Linked DNA regions of Rattus norvegicus. The protein of the gene in region 1 interacts with the protein of each later gene in a pairwise test. Links are inferred from orthologs where the notes say so. Each region holds a gene or a part of one and is shown on either strand. Other genes may lie near its edges.

What was found.
Region 2: the proteins of Amotl2 (region 1) and Krt20 interact in binary tests that used the Homo sapiens proteins (3 or more experiments, as listed by UniProt). The two-hybrid records come from large-scale screens. The link is inferred for Rattus norvegicus from reciprocal best matches to the Homo sapiens genes AMOTL2 and KRT20.
Region 3: the proteins of Amotl2 (region 1) and Nfil3 interact in binary tests that used the Homo sapiens proteins (3 or more experiments, as listed by UniProt). The two-hybrid records come from large-scale screens. The link is inferred for Rattus norvegicus from reciprocal best matches to the Homo sapiens genes AMOTL2 and NFIL3.
Region 4: the proteins of Amotl2 (region 1) and Brms1l interact in binary tests that used the Homo sapiens proteins (3 or more experiments, as listed by UniProt). The two-hybrid records come from large-scale screens. The link is inferred for Rattus norvegicus from reciprocal best matches to the Homo sapiens genes AMOTL2 and BRMS1L.

The regions. Positions count from the first base shown.
Region 1 is NC_086026.1:112,181,067-112,186,106, reverse strand, and holds the start of Amotl2 (angiomotin-like protein 2), read right to left. Parts: upstream 3,482-5,040; 5' UTR 3,394-3,481; intron 3,285-3,393; exon of another isoform or gene 2,624-3,284; intron 1,260-2,623; coding exon of another isoform or gene 1,198-1,259; coding exon 467-1,197; intron 1-466. UniProt on the Homo sapiens protein: Regulates the translocation of phosphorylated SRC to peripheral cell-matrix adhesion sites. Required for proper architecture of actin filaments.
Region 2 is NC_086028.1:84,887,206-84,892,346, reverse strand, and holds the start of Krt20 (keratin, type I cytoskeletal 20), read left to right. Parts: upstream 1-2,061; 5' UTR 2,062-2,094; coding exon 2,095-2,505; intron 2,506-4,727; coding exon 4,728-4,810; intron 4,811-5,141. UniProt on the Homo sapiens protein: Plays a significant role in maintaining keratin filament organization in intestinal epithelia. When phosphorylated, plays a role in the secretion of mucin in the small intestine.
Region 3 is NC_086035.1:12,430,481-12,435,455, forward strand, and holds the start of Nfil3 (nuclear factor interleukin-3-regulated protein), read left to right. Parts: upstream 1-1,895; 5' UTR 1,896-2,026; intron 2,027-2,848; exon of another isoform or gene 2,849-3,287; intron 3,288-3,683; exon of another isoform or gene 3,684-3,885; intron 3,886-3,904; exon of another isoform or gene 3,905-4,975.
Region 4 is NC_086024.1:78,999,716-79,004,882, forward strand, and holds the start of Brms1l (breast cancer metastasis-suppressor 1-like protein), read left to right. Parts: upstream 1-2,087; 5' UTR 2,088-2,210; coding exon 2,211-2,352; intron 2,353-5,167. UniProt on the Homo sapiens protein: Involved in the histone deacetylase (HDAC1)-dependent transcriptional repression activity. When overexpressed in lung cancer cell line that lacks p53/TP53 expression, inhibits cell growth.

The sequences.
Region 1 (5,040 bases):
CTCCTTATTTGAATGCTATAGACAATGCCATCTATATTCTGAGTTAAAACAATGATGTCAGTTTCTTTTTGTTTTAGACAGTCTTGCTACTTAGCCCAGGATGGTGGTCAACTTGTGATCTTCCTGCCTCACCTAAATATTTCAGGCATGTGCTTCCATAACTGGATCAGCTAAGTCCTCCCATCCCTCCAGCCACCAGCCCTCCCTTCTCAAGACAAAAGAGAGTAGATTGGGGTTGGGGATTTAGCTCAGTGGTAGAGCGCTTACCTAGGAAGCGCAAGGCCCTGGGTTCGGTCCCCAGCTCCGAAGGAAAAAAAAAAAAGAGAGTAGATTTACATCAGACAGCCCCAGGAGCTGATGGGGGTGCCCTGGGATCGGGATCATGACATGAAAGTTGAGATCCTCGACATGTATGATATTGGGGTTCTCCTCCTGGGACACTGAACTAGAAGAAACCCAAGGTTACCTGACTTCAGCATGCTGGAAGTGTGGGCTGCTTCTCGGACGGTATCTTGGGTCATTGACAGCCGCAGTCTCCTGAGCCATTACAGCGTGTGGGTACTGAGGTGGTGGCCCACGGGGCTCCGGGCCCTCAGCTGGGGGTCCTCGGGGCTGGGGACCTTGCTGGCTGCGGGCCAGCTGAGGGAAACTGTGGGAAGAGCTCATGTGGCTGGGGACCCGGGCACCATTTCTTTCCAGGGACAGCTGCAGAAGTCGTTCACTCAAGGAGCGCACATGGCCGTGCCTCAACTCTCGAAGAGCCTCATCCTGACGTCGGCTGCCTCCTGAGGCCCCTCTAGGATCCCGGTCCCCACCATGCAGCCGGGAGCCTGCCTGCTGCGCTGCATAGTACTGCGAATGGGCTTTGGCTTCCTCATAGGTGGGCAGCTCTTCTCCCTTGCTGGGCTGTGGGCAGAGTCGGTACAGCCTGTTCTCTGCCAGGTGGGTCTCTCCACCCTGATGCTCCTGGCCCTGGGGCTCCTGCCTGGTGGCCTGCTGTAGCACCTGACTGTCCTCGGGTGCTCCGATCTCCAGGGAGGCCTGGGGGCTCCCTGTGCCCCCAGCTCCAGCCCCACCCCGCAGGGCCTGCTGCTGGATGGCCAACAGAGTGCGAGTCTCTGTCAGGTTGCCGTAGCGCAGCTGCTCCTGGATGAGGCGGTGCAGGACTGTCCCTGAGGAGTCTTCCAGTGTCCTCATGCTTCTCTGGCTTGCACACACCTGCCTAGACAATGGCCAGCAGGCACCTGGTCTCAGAGCACCTAACAGACAGAAAGAATAGCAGTCAGTGGAAGCACATACAAAGGAGGGAGGGGCACTTGCCAAAACACTCTGGATGAAGGAGAAGGTGAGATAGTTGGGTGGTTTTACACAGGCCCAGATCCAAGTGCCAATATGGCCATCAATTGATTAAGTTTAGTTACTGAGCTTCTGATCTTAGTCTGCCGTGTGTGTGTGTGTGTGTGTGTGTGTGTGTGTGTGTGTGTGTGCCTCTTGGGAGTTGAAATGTAAGAGGTAGAACGCCTGGCATGCTATAAATCCTTGGCAAATGCTTACCATTCTAAGGACATGTATGGAGACCACAGAAATACAACAGAAAACCTGAAGGTTATCTAATAATCACACTCGCCTACAATCAGCCACTACCCCCAAACGCTCTCACGAGTGACCCCAGGACAGGTGTCCATCAAATTCAACCACTTAAGCAGTAGGACCTCAGTTTACTCGCAGAGTGGCCAAAGACAGAATGTAGCCCAGTAGAAAGAAGCCCTAAGCAAATGACTCCATTGACTGTTTCGAATGAGGAGGCTTGAGCCACCATAGTCCACCACCCTCCACTGGCTTCTCTTCCAGGAGTCGGACCCTGGGCTGCAGATAAAATAAATCCTTGTCACAGATGACCTTCGCAGTCACTCTGCAAGGTGAGCAGCCTGAGAAGCTGCATGTGAACTGGTGAGGCAGAGGTGTGACTGCAGTAATTGAGCCAGCAAAATATTGATCCTCCTCCTCCTTTCTTCACACACACACACATACAAACTTAGAAAAGCCTCTACTTGTACCCTAGAGGTACACAGGGGATGACCCTCTGTATCTCTGTTGATATTAGTAACGACCACCTATGCCAGTTGATGGGGTAATGAGGTGAGGGGGAAGACGAAGGAAGGGCTCGTGGGGATGTGGCCCCTTTCTCTTCCGTGCTATCCCCAGTGTGCAGCCCCACTTTGGGAATGATGTGTTGGCAGAGCCCTGAATGGTATGTTGGTAATGAGCCCCGAGGGCACCCAAGCCGGCAACTAATACCCCCACCCCCACCCCAGCTGCACCCTACAATGTGTAAGACTTGAGACTGTTCGCACGCAGCTTTTTCTACGCGGCATTTCCTACGTTAATCACTGTCTGGGCTGACTCCCGCTAAGGAGGATCCGGGAGCGGCTAGAAGGAATGCAAAGCCTTCCCGACAGATTCCAGGCGCGCCAACTATGAGCCAGGCTCCCCGGGAGCACGGAACATTTCCGAGGCCTCTCATCACACACACGTCCCAATCTAATCCCCTAGATGCACAATCTTTCAAATTCTTAGGGTTGAGCAATTTCTAAAAATCAGCTTCCTTACTCGGACGTTGTACCTGGGCTGCTCTGGAACACTGCACTCGGAAAACCAGCTACCTTTCTAAGCAAACATGCTTCTCTGGCCTTGGCTCGGGCTCCCTCCAGCAAAAAGAACCAACGCTAGTCTCTAAGTCAGCCAGACCAGGGTTCCCGCGTTTCCCACCTCCACCGAGGTGGACCACTAGCACTGGTGGTTGCCCGAGTGCCCCGGGCAAGCAAAACCCACACCCGCGAGAGGTCTTTAAGCATCGCGGGTCCGCCTCTCTCCCTAACCCTCTTTGTTTTCCAAATACTTCAGCGCTGACGTCACCGGACTGGACAGCAGGCTGCATTCTTTCTAAGTGAGAGCCAGTTCGTGGCTCCGGAGAGGATTTTCCAAGGAAGACAAAGAGGAATTCTTGATCTAGCTGACGGTAAAAGCCACCTGTATCCCCAATCTAGACAAAGCAATCACGGTGACCCCGTATTCGGCGAGATATGCCTACAGCAGCTATTCACTTGCCCCGTACGAGACGCACACTCCCAAACACTGATCCTCTGTCCTTCCTCCAGCCCCAGTGGGTCGGAGAATCGTGTCCTCACCCCCACAAAAGCGCGAGCAGCCTAGGCTAGACAGACACCCAGGATCAATCCTCGAAAGGGTGCACAGTGTCCCCTCCCCGGGGAGGCTCCTCCACTCCAGCTCCGATCTCCAGAAAGAGTCGGGCTGATCGCGGTGTCCGGGTGCCGCTGGGAAGCGTCCCCGCAGGCTTCGCGCACTACCCGGAGCGCCAGGCGCCTTGCTTACCGCTGCGGCCCGCGGCTGCCGGCGCACGCAGACCGGGTTCGGCTTAGGTACGGTCGGCAACGGAGGTGCGCACTCGTCGGTGGCGCCGACGATCTGCTTGCTCGCGCCCCAGTGCGCAGCCTCTAGGTCAGCCCGCGCTGGAGGCGGCTGCTATGCCAGGAATGTGAGAGTTTCAGGTTCCCCCTCGGGATCAAAGCGAACCACAAATAACCTCTCAGCGCGCCGCCCTCCTCCGCTCTCCGCCTCCCCCCGCCTCCTGGCCCAGCCCCCGCCTTCCTCCGGGGAGGCGGCGCTGCGGCCGGCGGCTGGGCTGGCCTCAGCCTTGTCCCCTTGTGCCACCCTGGGCTCTGGGGCCGTACGGCATTCCCTGCCTTCTGCCTTGCTGTCCTAGCTGTTGGGGGTGTCTTAACCAACTGGTCCCAAGATCGCCCCACCACTGTCCGCACCCGGTTCTCACCCGTCATCCTTACATGCACCGAGGGACGACTTCCAGGGATAAGCCTCGAACGCCCGGTGGTGGCTGCAAGAGGGGTCTGTGGCTTTTTGGAGATGGCGGGAGGACTGCAAAGCACTTTACATCCGCCCAGCTTGGGCCGTGTTGCAGGCGAACCAACCGATGCTTCGGCCCGCAGCTGCCCAGCCTCTTTCCTAACCCCTACTATTTCACCCCCCAGCGGCAAACTTTGAATTGCACTTTTATTGTTTACAAACACCTTCGCCAGCTCTTTTAGATCCCGCCTCTACAGGAAGTGTGTGAATCTGGGTTGAAAATCTGGTGGATTTAACCCACTACCCAAATGAATCAGCCACTCACTGGGCACTCTCTCTAACTTCTCCCCAGCTCCGTTCAGCTTTAAGTCAAGCACAAGGCGGGTCACCACTTGCTCTTTACTCGGCCATAAGATTCTAGTCACTCTCCAACCGTGCTCTCATTATCTCTGTAATAAATAAGAAACCAAGGCTCAGAGAGTTTAATAACTTACCTAGGGTCACACAGAGAATAGCTGATGAAGCCAGGACTCTTTTCTTGGTCTTCGGAATCCGGGTACCCTAGCCTGATAAGGCGGGCCCAGAGAGTCTCTGCTTCCACCTACCTGTCCCCAGTTCCAATCTTTTCCAATTTGTCTACACCTAGCCAGCCCTCTTTGTCTTCCCCTTCTCTGGCTTCTGGTGTTCTACTTTAGTGTGGAATGGACTCCTCTGTCTGTCATTTCTGACTCCCCTCCTCCTCCCTCCTCTGGTTAGAGCTCCCGGTCGGCATGCATTCCTTCCTCAATCCCATTCACCTAGAATCGGCCTAGATTTCTGCCGTGGGCTGGCCAGGTCCTCCCCTCCTTTCCTCAGCACAGCGATCTCAATTCCCAACTTTGCTGGAGTAGACCAAGGATGGGAAACCTTTCAAACTCAATAGCCAGGGATGTGACTAGTTTTGCATAAAGCTTTCCTTTAAGAGTGTGTGTGTGTGTGTGTGTGTGTGTGTGTGTGTGTGTGGCGGGGATTCCTTAGGAGTTAACCACCCTTGCTGCCTTTACAAAGGATGTGCCTACGGGTCCCAGCACCCACCTGGTGGTTCACAAGCATCTGTAACTCCAGTTCCAGGCTATCTGATAGGCAGTTCTGAATTATGCTGGTACCAGGCACCCACGT
Region 2 (5,141 bases), on another chromosome or scaffold:
GTGTGTATGTGTGTGTGAATGTGACTGTATGTGTGTATGTGTATGTGTGTGTATGTGTGTGTGAATGTGACTGTATGTGTGTGTATGTGTGTATGTGTGTGTATGTGTGTGTGAATGTGACTGTATGTGTGTGTATGTATGTGTATGTGTGTGTGTGAATGTGACTGTATGTGTGTGTATGTGTGTGTGTGTGTGTCCACTTGTTTTAATCATATTCAAGTCTCCAATCAAGTAAGAATTAAAATGGGAGTTGGTTGTGTGTTTTCTGTGGCCTTTCCAATCCCTTCTGATTAATTTGATTTAAAGAAATGGCGCAAGTTCTTCAGCAGAGGAGACATTTTCAGTCAGAAAACGAAAGGGAGTCTGTGTGGAAGCTCTTGCTCCAACCTAGGGAGTGCTCACCATCAGCCCCCTCATCTCATCAGCTGGTGAGGCGCAGCCCACAAGGGTGTGTGGAGGAAGCAGCAAAGTCCGCTTGGACACGGATTCACCCTCCAGAAGGAATGTTCCTACTCAAACCAATCAATAGGCTGAATGGCTGGGGCTCAGAATAATTGCCCTCTTAATCAGCGACTTCTGGGAAGTTATGTGTGAGTCCCATAACCCTGCAACCTTCTTTCTCTTTCCCAGGGTTGGGGGGAAGGGGTGGGGGAAGGAGGAGGCAGCAGGGGGAAGGGAGGGGGGAAAACACTCTCAGGGAACCACTGCACTGATCTGCAAGGTGACACAAGCTTCTGCATCTGGGACAGATCGGTGTCCTAAGAGGCAGCTCCTGCAGGCATCCTCAGGAAGGCAGAAGCAGAGTCTCCTGGTGGTATCTAGCTGGCCTCAGACAGGAGAAGCAGGCTCCCACACACAACAGGCCAGGTATTAAAAACGGGAGTTTCTCAACAATTTCAGTTTTTAAAAGCATTTTTCAACCATTTAGATGCTAATACTTAAAAATATTTGCAAGATTTCTATAATAAGTTTGCTTTTTTTAAATAAGGCTAACCTAGGAGTTCCTGGCAGTTGCAGGCTGCTGGGAGCCAGGACGAGGTTCTATGACCACGGACAGGTTGTCCACACCCCCATAGTTGGCCCCACACCCACAGTCATACAGGCAACACTAATTAGATTCAGGTTTTTTTTTAAAGAAAAATGAAAAAGGCATGAAGTTGTGTGGGATCTGGGTGCAGTTGGAGAGGCGAGTCTGGGAGGATATTACATTGCATATTCACGGATGAAATTACCCAAAAACACTATTTAAAATATCTTTAAAAAAAAAACACTCCGAAATCAACTGATCCACCGCCTACCGATACTCATTTACATATTCACCTACTGACTATACTCAGTTCTCAAATTCTTGGTGAGTGGGTTTGTGCACCTCAAGACAGGGTCTTGTTACACAGCACTGGGCTAGACTTCACTCCTTACTTCAGCCAGGCTGGCCTCAAACTTGTCCTGATCCCCCTGCCTCTGCTTCCCAGCGGCTGGAATCACAGGTGCTCACCAGCCTACCCAGCTCCACTCAAGATATTTCAATAGACTGTAAACGTAAGTTCTAAACAAGGATAAACTTAAAAGTAAAAATAAAAAAAAATTTTTTAAAGAGCCTGAAACAAAGCGTTTTCTTTTCAAATTCATCATCATTGGAACAAGCCATTGTCTTTTCTCACCAGTGTGACTTACTTTATGCTCCCACAGCTGCCTTGTTCAGCGCCTAAATTATTCATATAGATTGTAAATATTCTTTATTTGTATACGGGGAGAGAGGGAAAAACCCGCCAGGGCAGGTGCAAGACCTGAAAGAACACCCCTTCCTCGTCCTTTTTGTTACCTCTGTTTATTAAAAAGAAACCACCACCACCACCACCACCCCCAGAAAGCCTTTAAGAAGTGCCTCTAGTGGTAATTTCTAGAATGGAATAAAACCATATTTCCGTACAAAAGAGGGGGAGGGGAGGTAGGAAGGTGGACTGTGTCATTTCTGAGGTGACACTGCAGCAGGGGAGGAGTCTCTTGAACTCTATAAAAGGTTAGCGCCACAGCACCGTGAGACAGGCTGTGTGCTCCAACTCCAGGCTACAGGTGTTGCCTCCCGGGATCAAGATGGACTTCAGTCGTCGAAGTTTCCACAGAAGTCTGAGTTCCTCCTCACAAGGCCCAGCACTCAGCACGAGTGGCTCCCTGTATAGAAAGGGGACCATGCAGCGTCTGGGGGTTGCACCCAGCGTCTACGGTGGGGCTGGAGGCCACGGCACCCGCATCTCTGTCTCCAAAACCACAATGAGCTACGGGAACCATCTCTCCAACGGAGGGGACCTGTTTGGGGGCAATGAGAAATTGGCAATGCAGAACCTCAATGACAGATTGGCAAGCTACCTAGAAAAAGTGCGCTCCCTGGAGCAATCCAATTCCAAACTTGAAGCCCAGATCAAGCAGTGGTACGAAACCAATGCACCGAGCACCATCCGGGACTACAGTTCCTACTACGCACAGATCAAAGAGCTGCAAGATCAGGTGAGCCATGAAGTCCGTGATTTCTACCTCACTGTTCAGTTGCCTAATAGATTAAGAGAGATGTACGCTAGGTGAATTCAAACACATGAAGCAGATTAGGTCGGAATTTATAACTGAAAAAATGCATCTTATCTCGTGGTATCTGTCAACAGGATGGGTTTAACCCATGCTTTTTCTAAAACTTCAACCTAATTGCATATAAAATATGACCATTTTATCATCCAAGATCGCAGCCTATATCTTTGTCTATGATTTACAATATAAGGTCTTCGTTGTGAATGATCTTATTTTTTTCAGAGACCTGCCAGGGTTTCTGTGAGTTTGCTACTTGTCTTCACTAACTCGGAAGACTCAAGTCAACTTGAAGAGATTTTTCATCTTTCGTTATATGAATGTTATAATAAAAGTATTAACCTACTATGGGAATAAATAACAAAAGGCTCCAGGGTGGACACAATACAGATATTAATGATATCTATACTGATTGATAAATGGTTGGATGATAGATGATTGGATGGATGGATAGATGGAAGGAAGGGGGAGGAAGAAAGGAAGGAAGGAAGGAAGGATTGGTCTTTGATACAAGATCTGTGTATCCCAGTTTAGTCTGGACCTCACCATCCTCCTGCCTCCACTGCCTCAGCACTGGGATTAAAGAAGTGTGCTATCATGCAACAATTCTGATACCTGGATTTTTTAATGCCTTGTTTAATTATCTCCTCACTATCAATAAGCATTTTATAATGCATCTGTGCGATAATGAAATGTTCTATTGCCCCCAATTCAACTTTATTACAGTCATATCACCATCTGCTCCTGTATCATCCACGGTAGGTGGGGTTCTCCTTTTTATAAAGGCAATGGCATAAGAGTTGGAGACTTTGCTCCTGACTAAGGAGGTCAGCATTAGCACGTACCATTGGCTTAGCTCCGGGGTTCTTATCTAATCAAGAAAGGCCTCCCCTTTGGTTTTGTTTATATCTTAAAGTTATTACCCCTTTAGAGCAAAGACCTTTGACTGAGCCAGGGGCCTCTTCCTGGGTTATATGACAGACATCAGTGCAGCTTAACTTCAGACTTTACAGACCACCAAGCTATGGTGCTCACATTACTTCATCACCAGGACCGTACTTCGGGCTTTTTGATACAACACAAAATTCAAATTAAGCACTTCTCACAAGGTCGATGCTTCTGAATTGACATGGGGATTTTCTGTGATACTGAGGCACAGCCCTCAGTGTCCAGTAGTTTGAGGCCTATCGAGTGGCCTCTCGCCAGGAATAGCCACTGAGAGGGATATGCCACTCTACTATCTTCTAGAAGTAGACTTCTAATTCTCATCCATCTTAAAGAACACGGTGTTTGCCTTGAAACACGAGAACCTGAGTTCAGTCCCCAGATTAAAAAACAAAACTGGAGAATGTGTGCTTGTACTCCCTGCGATGGGGGAGTGGAGACAAGCAGACCCCTGGGACTTGCTGGTCATCCAGCCTGGCCTAATTGGTGAGCTCCAAGACACTGAGAGACCCGGCCTCACCCCCCAAAATGGTAGCACTTAAGGAATAGCATGCAAGGCTGTCCCTTGACCTCCGCATACGCACACACAGAGAAAGATGCACATGGATCCAGGGTGCACCCATCCTTCTGTCCTGTGCCTAACTCGCACAGACAGCAAGTTCCCATTCAGCCACTACTGCATAGACACCGGCTGGGTCCTGAGCAACACACATGGCGAACAATGACAGCACATGAAGTGTCTGACGTGAAACAGGCCCGGACCAAAGAAACCATCACTGAAAGGGTAGATGCAGGGATGCTGTGGGGGCAACAGCAGCAGGGGTGCATTCGCTGCCAGAACTGGAAGATGTCATGGGGTGGGGGACTTCGAAACAGTGTTGTCTGAGCTGAGGGGAAGGAGCTCGAGCTCACCAGGTAAGAAGGGTTAACAGCAAGGCTCCAGTGTGAGCAGTGTCACAAACAAGGCGCTCAAAAAGGTCCAGCGATGTGGGTGACTTCAGCTTTCATTTCGTATGATCAGAAAAAAACTAGGCCAAGCCACTACACTAATTCCTCTGTCACTGTTCCTCTTGTTCTCCCACGGTCATTCTTGAAACGAACATCACTTATGATGGAATCACAGTTGTCTCTGAGGACCAATGAAATTACCTTACACTCCTTCCCAAAGGGAAAATGTCATTCTTTTTTCCTCTCACATTTCCCAGATTAAGGATGCTCAAATAGAAAACGCCCGATGCGTCTTGCAAATTGACAATGCTAAGCTGGCCGCAGAGGACTTCAGATTGAAGTAGGTTCTCTAAATGGTGTGTGTGTGTGTGTGTGTGTGTGTGTGTGTGTGTGTGTGTGTGCGCGCGCGCGCGCGTGTGTGTGTGTGTGCTGTGAACAGATGCCATGACCAAGGCAACTCTTATAAGGACAACATTTAATTGGGGCTGACTTACAGGTTCAGAGGTTCAATCTATTATCATCAAGGTGGGAACATGACAGCATCCAGGCAGGCATGGTGCAGGAGGAGCTGAGAGTTCTACATCCTCATCTGAAGGCTGCTAGCAGAATCCTGACTTCTAGGTAGCTAGGACTAGGGTATTAAAACTCCCACCCACGGTAACACACCTACT
Region 3 (4,975 bases), on another chromosome or scaffold:
TGGCCATGGCCACCAAATAAGTGGTGTGGTCATCAAAGGGTGCACAGCAAATGAAATTTTTCCACAGAGAAATTTAGAAGTCTGGGTCCCAATGCAGAGACACAGAGCTGAAGACTTGTCATTAGCCTGTCACTCGTCCCTGTGACGGTCCTTCCAGCCATATCCACAAGACTTCAATTTTCCATCTCTAGAGTCCAGCCAGATAAGTCCTGGACCAACTCATTCATTCAGCCAGCCAGTCATTTGGTCATTCATCCAGTCATCCAGTCAGTCAGTCAGTCAGTCAGTCTGTCAGTCAGTCAGTCGGCCATAAACAGTCTCACGTGGCCGGGGCTGACATTATAGCTGAAAATGACTTTGAATTTCTGATCTTGCTGCCTGTACCCTCTGAGTGCTCGGATGACAGACACGCACCATTGTGTCTGTTTCATATGCTTCTGGGAGTTGGACCCAGGCCTTCACGACTGATAGGCAAGCGCCTTACCAACTGAGTCACAATTAGCCCAGTGCTTTACATATTTTTAAATATATTACATTTATTATTTATATTTTTTATGATGCATTACGTGTGTGCATCCACTCAAACCCACACCATGGTTGGTGCACATATGGAGGTCACAGGGACAACTTTAAGGTCTCAGTTGTCCCCTTCCACCATTTGAATCCTAGAGCTCAAACACAGGTGTCAGGCTTGGTGGCAAGTTCCTTTTCCCACTAAGCCATCTCATTGTAAAAGAAAATCAATCCCTTGCCAACATGGAAAAGCAGAATCTTTCTCTCTCTCTCTCTCTCTCTCTCTCTCTCTCTCTCTCTCTCTCTCACACACACACACACACACACACACACACTTACACACATACACACACACTTACACACATACATACACACTCACACACACTCACACACATGCACACTCTCACACACACACACAAACCCACTCACACACACACTTACACTCACATACATGCACACACACACACTCACACACATACATACACACTCACGCACACACTCACATACACTCACACACTCTCTCTCTCTCTCTCTCACACACACACACACACACACACACACACACACACACAGGTATTTTTAATGTCAACTTTTGAAAACTCGGAGCCATGGCCCCCCTGATCTGATACGGTAACGGTGGTGTCAGAGTCCACAGGTGGCTCACCTTCTGAACCCCCATAAAGTACTAGGTGTATATATCAAGGTCCAAGGCAAGAGCCTCTGGACGCCAGGCTAAAGTCGTGTAACCAGGGTTAGACCTGGGCTCGATGCCCAACGCTGTGAAAGGAAAACCCCTCGGATGCCTAGGTCAGAGTACTCTAGACCCTCTGGCTGGACACGCCCTGAAACTTTTCTCAGAAAGAGCCACATTCTCACCACGCTCTCCTCTCACACCCCTTACATTGGCTGCTCAGAGAGTGCTTCAGAGGTGTATAAGCACAAAAGTGATCACCTCTCCTTGGCTCCTGCATCCAAACCCAATTCCAGCTCTGAAACGAACCAGCCGCTCTGAGTAAGAACGTTTTGAGCTTGACTGCCGTACTTCAGTTAGAGCCCTCCAGCCTTTTCCTATTCAGGAGACCCTACTTACAGCCTGTTCTGGAATTAGCACACTGGCGACCTGGGGAAGGTTCTCCCGTCCCAGGTTTATCTTTCGATTTTCTTCTAGTTCGACTAATTGCAAGCACTTGCCCACTAGGTGGACCCCCAGGGTATAACACCAGACACATCATCCCCCAGGTCCTGAAGACTGAACCTCCAACACTTTGTTGAGCTGCATTTTTAAAGCAGCAGACGGCGCTAACGAGTTGTTTTCCAAGTTGATATCAGAGACATCTTTCACACTTCCTCTGATTTCCAAGTTAGATGGCAAATGACGGAAGCACGAATGTGGTGGAGGCTCAGTGTGGACTGCCCCCCGGGAATGAAGACAGGCATCAGATTTCAAAATTCAGTCGAAAGAACAGCTTCGTGGGTCACAGCCATCCGTTCGTTCCTCCGCTGGCAACCTTGGGTGAGTCAGGCAAGTTCAGTTGGCTTTTTGTGAAAAAAAAAACGTTACTCCTCGATTCTACCTACTCAGGGATCCTATGACATCATTAAATTCCAGAAAAGTGGAACTGATTAACCAAGTCAAGACTCGTTTACATCAAGGCAGTGAGTTCCTCGGAAAAACAAAAACAAAGCAAAAAGTGGAAAGGGGCGGTGTGTTTCCTGAACTGGTCAGGAACCCGCCAAAGGAGATTTACCATATATTGCCTATCTGTGCTGTGGGGGCTTTATTTGGTTACGGGGTATTTTACCAGCTAGACCTCATCGTTAATGCCCTGTGAAGGCGTCCAAAAGTCCAACGGCGAATGGTACTTAAGTCAGTGTGCCTCGGAGATTATCTGTGTAGTTACTGTGTGCCTGGGGTAAATGGAAAGGGATCCACTTAGTGAGATGTTCCGGGTGGGGGCCCGCGCACTCGCTCTTTACTTTGGGGTTTGCTTTCTTAAAAAAAAAAAATGAGAAAGGAGGCGGGGGGGGGGTAGAGTGAGGGAGTCATTCGAGCCCAGATCTCACAGTCCGAGCTCAAGGACCTCGCCACCTGCCACATTCCGTATTTGGGCAAGCGCGTGCGTCACTGTCAGGAATATGGCTCCCTTTGCCAAGGCCGGCACTAATTTTACGTGTCTGTAAACGCGGGGAGTGTTTGCCACGTTCCTTTACAATAGCCAACCTGATGACTGACTTAAGAACACGCCGCCAGATGCCTTGTCTCCCGTTTCCTTATGTCTTTTGTACATCCCAGGAATTGGGGGGCGGGGAGGAGAGCTGGCTGGCTGGCTAGCTGGCCTGTTCACTGGAAGCAGAAACGACAGAGAGCTACCAGCTCAAGATGCTTCGGGGAGTGCCCTCTGTGGCTCGCTCAAGCCTGAGCACCGAAGATGGGTGGGCGTCCCAGCCCGGCGCACCGGGGACCGCGGACCCTCAGGTCCTCGGACACCGTCGCCACTTCCCCACGTGGTCGGGGACGCAGACCGACTAGGTCTAGCCTGGTTTCCCAACCGTGTTACGCAACAACTTTGTAGGGGTCGTCTTCGCCCTAATTGTGTCGGGAGCGCTGTTTGGGTTGCCGTTGCGGCGCGAGAGGAGCGGAACATTTCAGTCGTGGCGCTGCACGGCTGCCGCGCCCCTTTCCCGATCTCAGAGGGACCATGGGCACAAGGAGGCCAAGGTCCCTGCCACGCCCGGGTCCCCATAGCCTTCACCCGGAGTTCTATTGGCAACAGGTAGCCCAGCCGGCTGTGACTCTCCGGGAAACAAAAAAAAAGGTGCTGCACAACCGAGCGAGCGCAGCGACCCGGAGGGCGCTGCCAGTAATGGGCAAAGGGGTCCTGGGCTCCTCCCAGTTGTGCCCTGGTTGCTCCGCGGTGCGTCCCGTTGCGCAACAGAGCTCTCGGAGTGGGTCCCCACGGACAGAGGGTAGCAGCTGCGGCCGCGGCCAGAGAAGGACGCGGACTGGCGGTGGCGCCGCGGCGGAGAAGACGGGGCGGGGCGGGGCGGGGCGGTGGGGAGCCCGCCCCTGTCGGCGCGGCCAGTGGCGGCGGGCCGGGGGCGGGCGCGGGCGCGGCGATTGGGGCGGCGGCCGCCCGTCACGGCGGGGCTGGCGGGCGGCGACGTAGCGCGGCGCTCGGAACTGACCTACTAACACACATCTCTCGGCGCGGCCACGGCGCCCGCGGACCCGGCGCGCCCGCCCGTCTCCCGCGCCGCGCCCTCGCCACCACCCGCTGAGGGCCGGGTGGAGCTCGAATCGCGTCTCGGAGCCGCCAGCCCGGTACCAGCTGCCCTTTCTTTTCTCCTCACGGACTAGGGAGCAGAACCACGGTAAGCGCTCCGCCCACCGGCGGCCCGGGGGGCCCAGCTCCGATCCGTGCCCGCTCTTGGAGCGCGCGGCCGGCTGGCGTGGGGCGCGGGACGCGTGCGGGCGCGGCGCAGGGCTGGCGGGAGGCGGCGAGTGTGCGCGGGGCATGCATTACATAAACTTTTGCTGCCTTGGCAGGAGGGGGACTCGCCACCTTAAGGTAGCTGCTTTGATTGCAGCGCCCTGGCGCCCGCACGTAGCCGGGGCTGCCGCGGGCTCCCTCCTCCTCCCCGCTATTGCATAATGTCTCCGGATTTCAGGAAAATTGATGTTTCGGTGGCGAAGAGCGCGCCGGGGAGGCGGAGTGGAGGCCGATCCTTTTAGCAGCCTGACGTGCCCTGCTCTCCGGGGTCTCTCCGCGCTAGTCCCCAATCCGGGCCGGCCAGTGGGAGGGTTGAGTCTTGGGGAGCCGTCTTGATTTGCTTAGGAGGGTTGGGAGTGCGAACGGTGACGGCAATCGGAGGTGCCTGCGCGGCGTTTGTTTGTGTCAGGCGCTGTGTCGGCACCGACGTTTTCCAACCCGTTTGTCGTCACCGTGTTTTACGAGCCCTCGGGAAGGTGGAGGGATGTGTCCTTTCTTACGTTGCATAATGGGCTAGCGGTGAAACGTGGGCACCGAGGACGAGCTGATGTGAGAATGTGCGCCTATGTGTGCAATGATTTGGTCATTTTAGCGCAGCGTTTGGTGCCTCTGTATCGTCCCAAATAAGCATATTTTAAAAACGAGTCTATGAAATTCATTATTAAGAAAGGAGAAATCCTAGTGTTGGACACTAATGCGCGCGGGAGGGCGAGTTGGGGGGGGGGGCTCCTTAAATGTTCCGAGGTGTTATTTTTAAAACCCGGAGGAGCCATTGTGACGTTTGCCTCCCCACTTTTCCCAACCGTTTCATCAGCTTTTTTTTTCTTCTCACCTTATCGTCATTGGCTTTTTTTTTTTTTTTAATAAAGACACCACAAGACAAATCATTAATAGATTCCTGGAAATGTGAGGTTACGTAACTGCCGAATTTGCTGGCTGTTGAGCATAGAAAGGGAGCTAATTACGTGATT
Region 4 (5,167 bases), on another chromosome or scaffold:
ACTACGGTTAAGCCACCCATGCCTGGCCCCCTTTGCTTACCTTTGAACAGCAGAAGCAGAAAGCACCCACTTGAGGACCACTGTGTGCCAAGAGAGTACATGCAAGCTCTGATGCCACACTACTTAACGTTCAAAGCTGAGACCTGTTATCTATTACCCGTATGACCTTGGTGAGGTAGTTTGACTGCTCTGTACCTCAGTTTCCTCCTGTGTAAAATTAACTCTCAGATTTGTTGTGGAGATTAAATGAACCACCTTATTTAAAGTACCCAACAGTGCAAGGCATAAGTAGCCACTAGAAATCTCAGTACTATTTAGCACACACTCTCTGGTTACTGATATAACAAAGATTAACTGGAACCAAGGGCTTTTGCCAACAGCTGTTTTTATTTGATCTGCATTTGAGAAGCGGAACCCAAGACTAGGAGCCAGAATCCCTGCTCTCAGGAAGATGAGGCCATGCAGTGAACTCAAGACCAGCAAGACTCTGTCTGGACAAACATGCTGGTAGTCTCAGATCCTAGCAACTGGCAGGTTGCAACATAATAGCTGCCCACACACAGTAGCTGTGCTTTGCCTTGTATTTTCACACTTGATTAAAACAACCCTTGCTTTCAAGGAACTCACAGTCCTATAGGTAGCCCACGGTGGCTGAATATAGCCTGGTAGGAAAAGAAGAAGAAAAAAAGGACTAAGTACAGATCGTAGTCATTGTCTGGGAGCACGAGAGCATCTGAAATGCGGGAAATGGTGGTGGTGGTGATGGTTTGAATATGCTTGGCCCAAGGTGTGGCACTTTTAGGAGCTGTGGCCCTGTCGGAGTAGGTGTGGTCATATTAGAGGAAGTGTGTCATTATGGGCGTGGTCTTTAAGACCCTCACCCTAGCTCCCTGGAAGCCAGTCTCCTAGCAGCCTTCAGATGAGGATGAAGAACTCTCAGCTCTGCTCCCGCCTTGGTGGTAATGGACAGAACCTCTGAACCTGTAAGAAAAGGAGCAAGCTGAGAAAGGAAAAATATTTAAAGGGGCACCGGGGAGTAGAATCTATGTTCTAGGCTATAACAGATCCTACTCAGCTAAATTTAAGTCAAGGTGTGGTTTAATCCCAAGAGACAGGGCCAAGCAGATCTCTGAGCCAAGGTCAATCTACAGAGCAAGTTCCAGAACAACTAAGCTTCATTCTACTTCCTGATGTCCCTTTAATACTTGAACCATATATTTTGTTGACAAAAAAAATCAACTCATCTAACCCACACAGTGAACTTACCAAGATAACCTGATAATGAGTGAAAGTGGTCAGTTATAAGTTACGATTATTATGGTAGTTACAGCGTCATCCTTGTCTGTGTAATCCTATCTTTGAAAAAAAAAAAGACACCTTTTTAAGTCAAACATTAATTTTTCATCGGAACCTGAAATTAAATCAACGGGTAGCTTCTTCCATTAAAAAAAAAAATGTAAGAATGCAAAATTGAAATACTAAAACTTCCTTTCCCTCTATTTTTTTGGTTGAAAAAATTTCAAGAACAATTATAATTTCTCTGTGAAAATTTACAAAGTACGAATTATTTCCTACATCTACATTTCAATTTAAGTTTATTAGCCGTAATAAAAGTAATACTAATGTAGAAGAGACGATTCTGCAGCCCTCCATGCTCATAGAGTGTGCAAAAACCTTTTCAAGCAAAGGACCTTTTCACATTCTTTTCACATTTTGAGTAGCTGGGCAGATTAAATAACCAATTGGCGGGAAAAGGATAAGTACAGACCAAATCCGCGCAATCTGTTTCTGTTTAGTTTATAAACTGCGTTCCAGTATGCCAGCTTTCCTGCCTTGTGGGACTTGAAGTCCGAAGTTAAAAGTGATTGAGGCAGTTGAACCTTAGAAACCCACAGCCCGTGAAGCTCTGAGGCCTAAGGACTACAACTCCCGACATTCAGCGGAAGGCCGCGCCGTAATCACGGGTAACCAATCGTTCGCTTGCAAGGCAGGCCACGCCTCCAGCTCAGGGACAGTTTTCACCAATGGCTGAGCTCGCAGCGCACAGCCTGCGGGTTAGGTTGTGAGGCTCTGGCCGGGGGTGGGGAGGAGTCGAGGGTTTCGGAGCGAGCGAGGCGGCCGGGTGGGTCGGGGCGTTCGGCGCGCCCTTCTCTGGAGCGGCAGTGGCCGGGCTGGGAGCAGGGAGTGGGAAGCGACGGCGCGGCTGGAAAATGCCGGTCCATTCCCGAGGAGATAAGAAGGAGACGAATCATCACGATGAGATGGAGGTGGACTACGCGGAGAACGAGGGGAGCAGTTCCGAAGACGAGGACACCGAGAGCTCGTCGGTCTCCGAGGATGGGGACAGCTCAGGTGCGCGACTCAGCTGGGCGGGGATGCCGGGTCCCTTGAGCCGGGCGCGCGACAGGCCGCGGTGCTCACGCCGGGCGGCGCGTCCTGCTGGGAGCGCGGGGCGGGGAGATGGGGAAGGGGCGGGGACTGGCTTGGCCTCTGGCACCCGGAGCTGCGGGGCGCCGCGGGCTCCAGCTCCCGGTCCCGGGAAGGCTGAGCGCCTGCGGGCTTTGGGGACCCCAGGCGATTCTGTGCACCGTGGGACCCGCCCTAGGGTCACCTGGCGGTACCCTGGGGCTACCGACTGGGGAGTGGAATGTCCGGCTTGCTGATCTGGAAGACTGGAAATGCCCTTTAATTCATACCACCGACCCTTTACTAGTAGTCTCCCCAACCCTTGTCTGCATGTGTGCGGACTGAGGATAGATTTGCCTTGGTCCTTGGCGGGCTTGAAACTCATTAACCTTCACTTGCAGATCAGCCTGTCGCTAGTACTGTCATCAGAGGTCTCGAGGGGATTGACTTGGGAACTCTCCGGTTCTTTGTAGCTCTCTAAAGTTTTCAAGACCGACAAAGGACCAGCCTGAGGAATAATTTCAAATCATTGTCAGGTTTTAATCAGGACCATGTGGGCAGTGTTGACATTCCCAGAATCTTCAAGCGATGATTATTTTGTAACTTCGGGCGATTTCTTCTGCGTCTTTAATACTTGTTATTCCAACATATGACAGACTGAGAATGACTTCTTTGTCTAACCCTGGTTTGGCCATGAAAAGGGAAGCATTGATAATAGGTTAATGACAGTGTGGTATCATTCCACACTTTTTTTCTAGGTTTGTCTGTCAGAGTATACTTCTTAATGGAAGAAGGTAATGTCAATAAGTCAGCCATCCAAAAGTAAATATTTATGAGGGAGAGTTTTCACTCAGCACGAGGCAAACATTTATAGTTATTTTATCTCGGTTGAAGAACAGTATTTTGCTTACTCAATAGGACTTTTGAACACATGAATTCATTGTAGTTATGGCAGTGTGCACAAGACCTGGGCAGGCTCAATCCGGACAGAAATCCCAATAGGGTAGAGGTGGGCATGGTAGTTCCACCACTAGCAGAGCTAAGGGCATTTGTTAGTATGACCCTTGGTAGGTCAACCACACATCAGGGCAGGCAAACCAGATTGAACGCCATAGTTTTACAAAAAAGAAAAAGTAGAGGACTTGGAGTTGGGCGAATAGGGGGATGGCGGTGGTTCAGATTAACATTTTCAAAGAACTGATAAAAATATTTTAAAAGCTTGTTGTAAGTTACCACTTGATTAAGTTGCTAAACAAACAATTGAATGTACATAATGCTGTTGTTAGGAGCAGAGGACAGACTCTAGAACTACGTGGTCAGCACATTTAGTGGGGAAAGAGCCACTGTGTTGTTTTGAAGAGTTTGGGTTGGGATAGTTAAGGTGGAAAGTTCATATAGGAGAAGGAATGTAAGAAAAAGTGCAAAGGGCGGAGTTCAAGGCTTATAGAAGGATGAGAAAACAAGTTTGGTTGGGAGACCAAGAAGCTTGAAAAGGCAAAGAATGATGTAGACGTGAGAGATTTCAAAGAAGACAAAACCCAGACTCGGTGGATACAAGTTTAGGAGTGAGGTAAGAGGAAGCTCAGATACAGGGAGAGATGTGGGTAGCATCACAGCTAACCAAAAAATAAAATATGGAAATGAAGATAGAAGATGAAGTATTTTGAGCATATTGCTGTTCAGCTTGTGTGCTGTTTATGTAAGAATGTCCAAACCGACAGAAGGAATGTCGAGTTAGAACCTACCTGAGATGAGAAAAATAATTCTGAGGTCATCCGCCTTGCTGGGGACATGGGTGAAACTTCAAAATTAGCCAGTTTAACATGAAGTAGGGTAAGAGTCACATTTATACTCTATATACAGTTCGTAGAGCTGAAGTGCTTTTCTGTTGTTTTGTTTGTGGGATGTAGAGGTCAGGGTCTTGCTGTGTAGCCCAGGAGTAAAGCATTTTTATATTCAAGCATCCTTGTTTTCTTCATTTTTATTTAATTTTGTATTATTTATATGTACTTTTAAGATTTTATTTTTAATCAATTATGTGTATGTCTGTGCATAGGTACAGGTATGGGAGTGAAGGTGCCCACAGAAGAGGGCACTCACTGGATGTTTTGGAGCTGAGTTAGAAGTGGTTGTGAGCTACCTGGTGTGGTACTGGGAACCCAGCTTTCTTCCTCTGCTAGAACACAACATGCTCAGAGGCCCTGAGCTATTGGTTCAGCCTAGGCTCTTGGGTTTTAATAGGAGCCAGATTCTTATCAAATTGCATGTGTTGTGAGTCTCTTCTAAGATTTATGTTGTGGTTTTTTAAAGTATTTGTTTATTTATTATATATATGCACACCAACACCAGAAGAGGATATCAGATCTCATTACAGATGGTTGTGAGCCACCATGTGGTTGCTGGGATTTGAACTCAGGACCTTGGGAAGAGCTGTCAGTGCTCTTAACCATTGAGCCATCTCTCTAGCCCGATGCTGTGACCTTTAACATGTTTAAAAAACCTCAGCCTAGAAAATAACATAATTTACATAGATCATAATAGTAATTTAAACTAAAAGTCAATTTTTAAAGTGCAAGTAAATCATTTGAATGCATTTTGCAGTTTTACTTTTCCTATGATTATTTCTATTCTACCGAGTCTTGCATATTGCATTTTTTTTCCCTCAAACCGTGGTATTGAACAGATCCTTTGGGTATGACTTAATTCAGATTTGGAAGATTAAAAAATGTGAAGAACTAGGTTTTGTGTATGTGCATGAGCA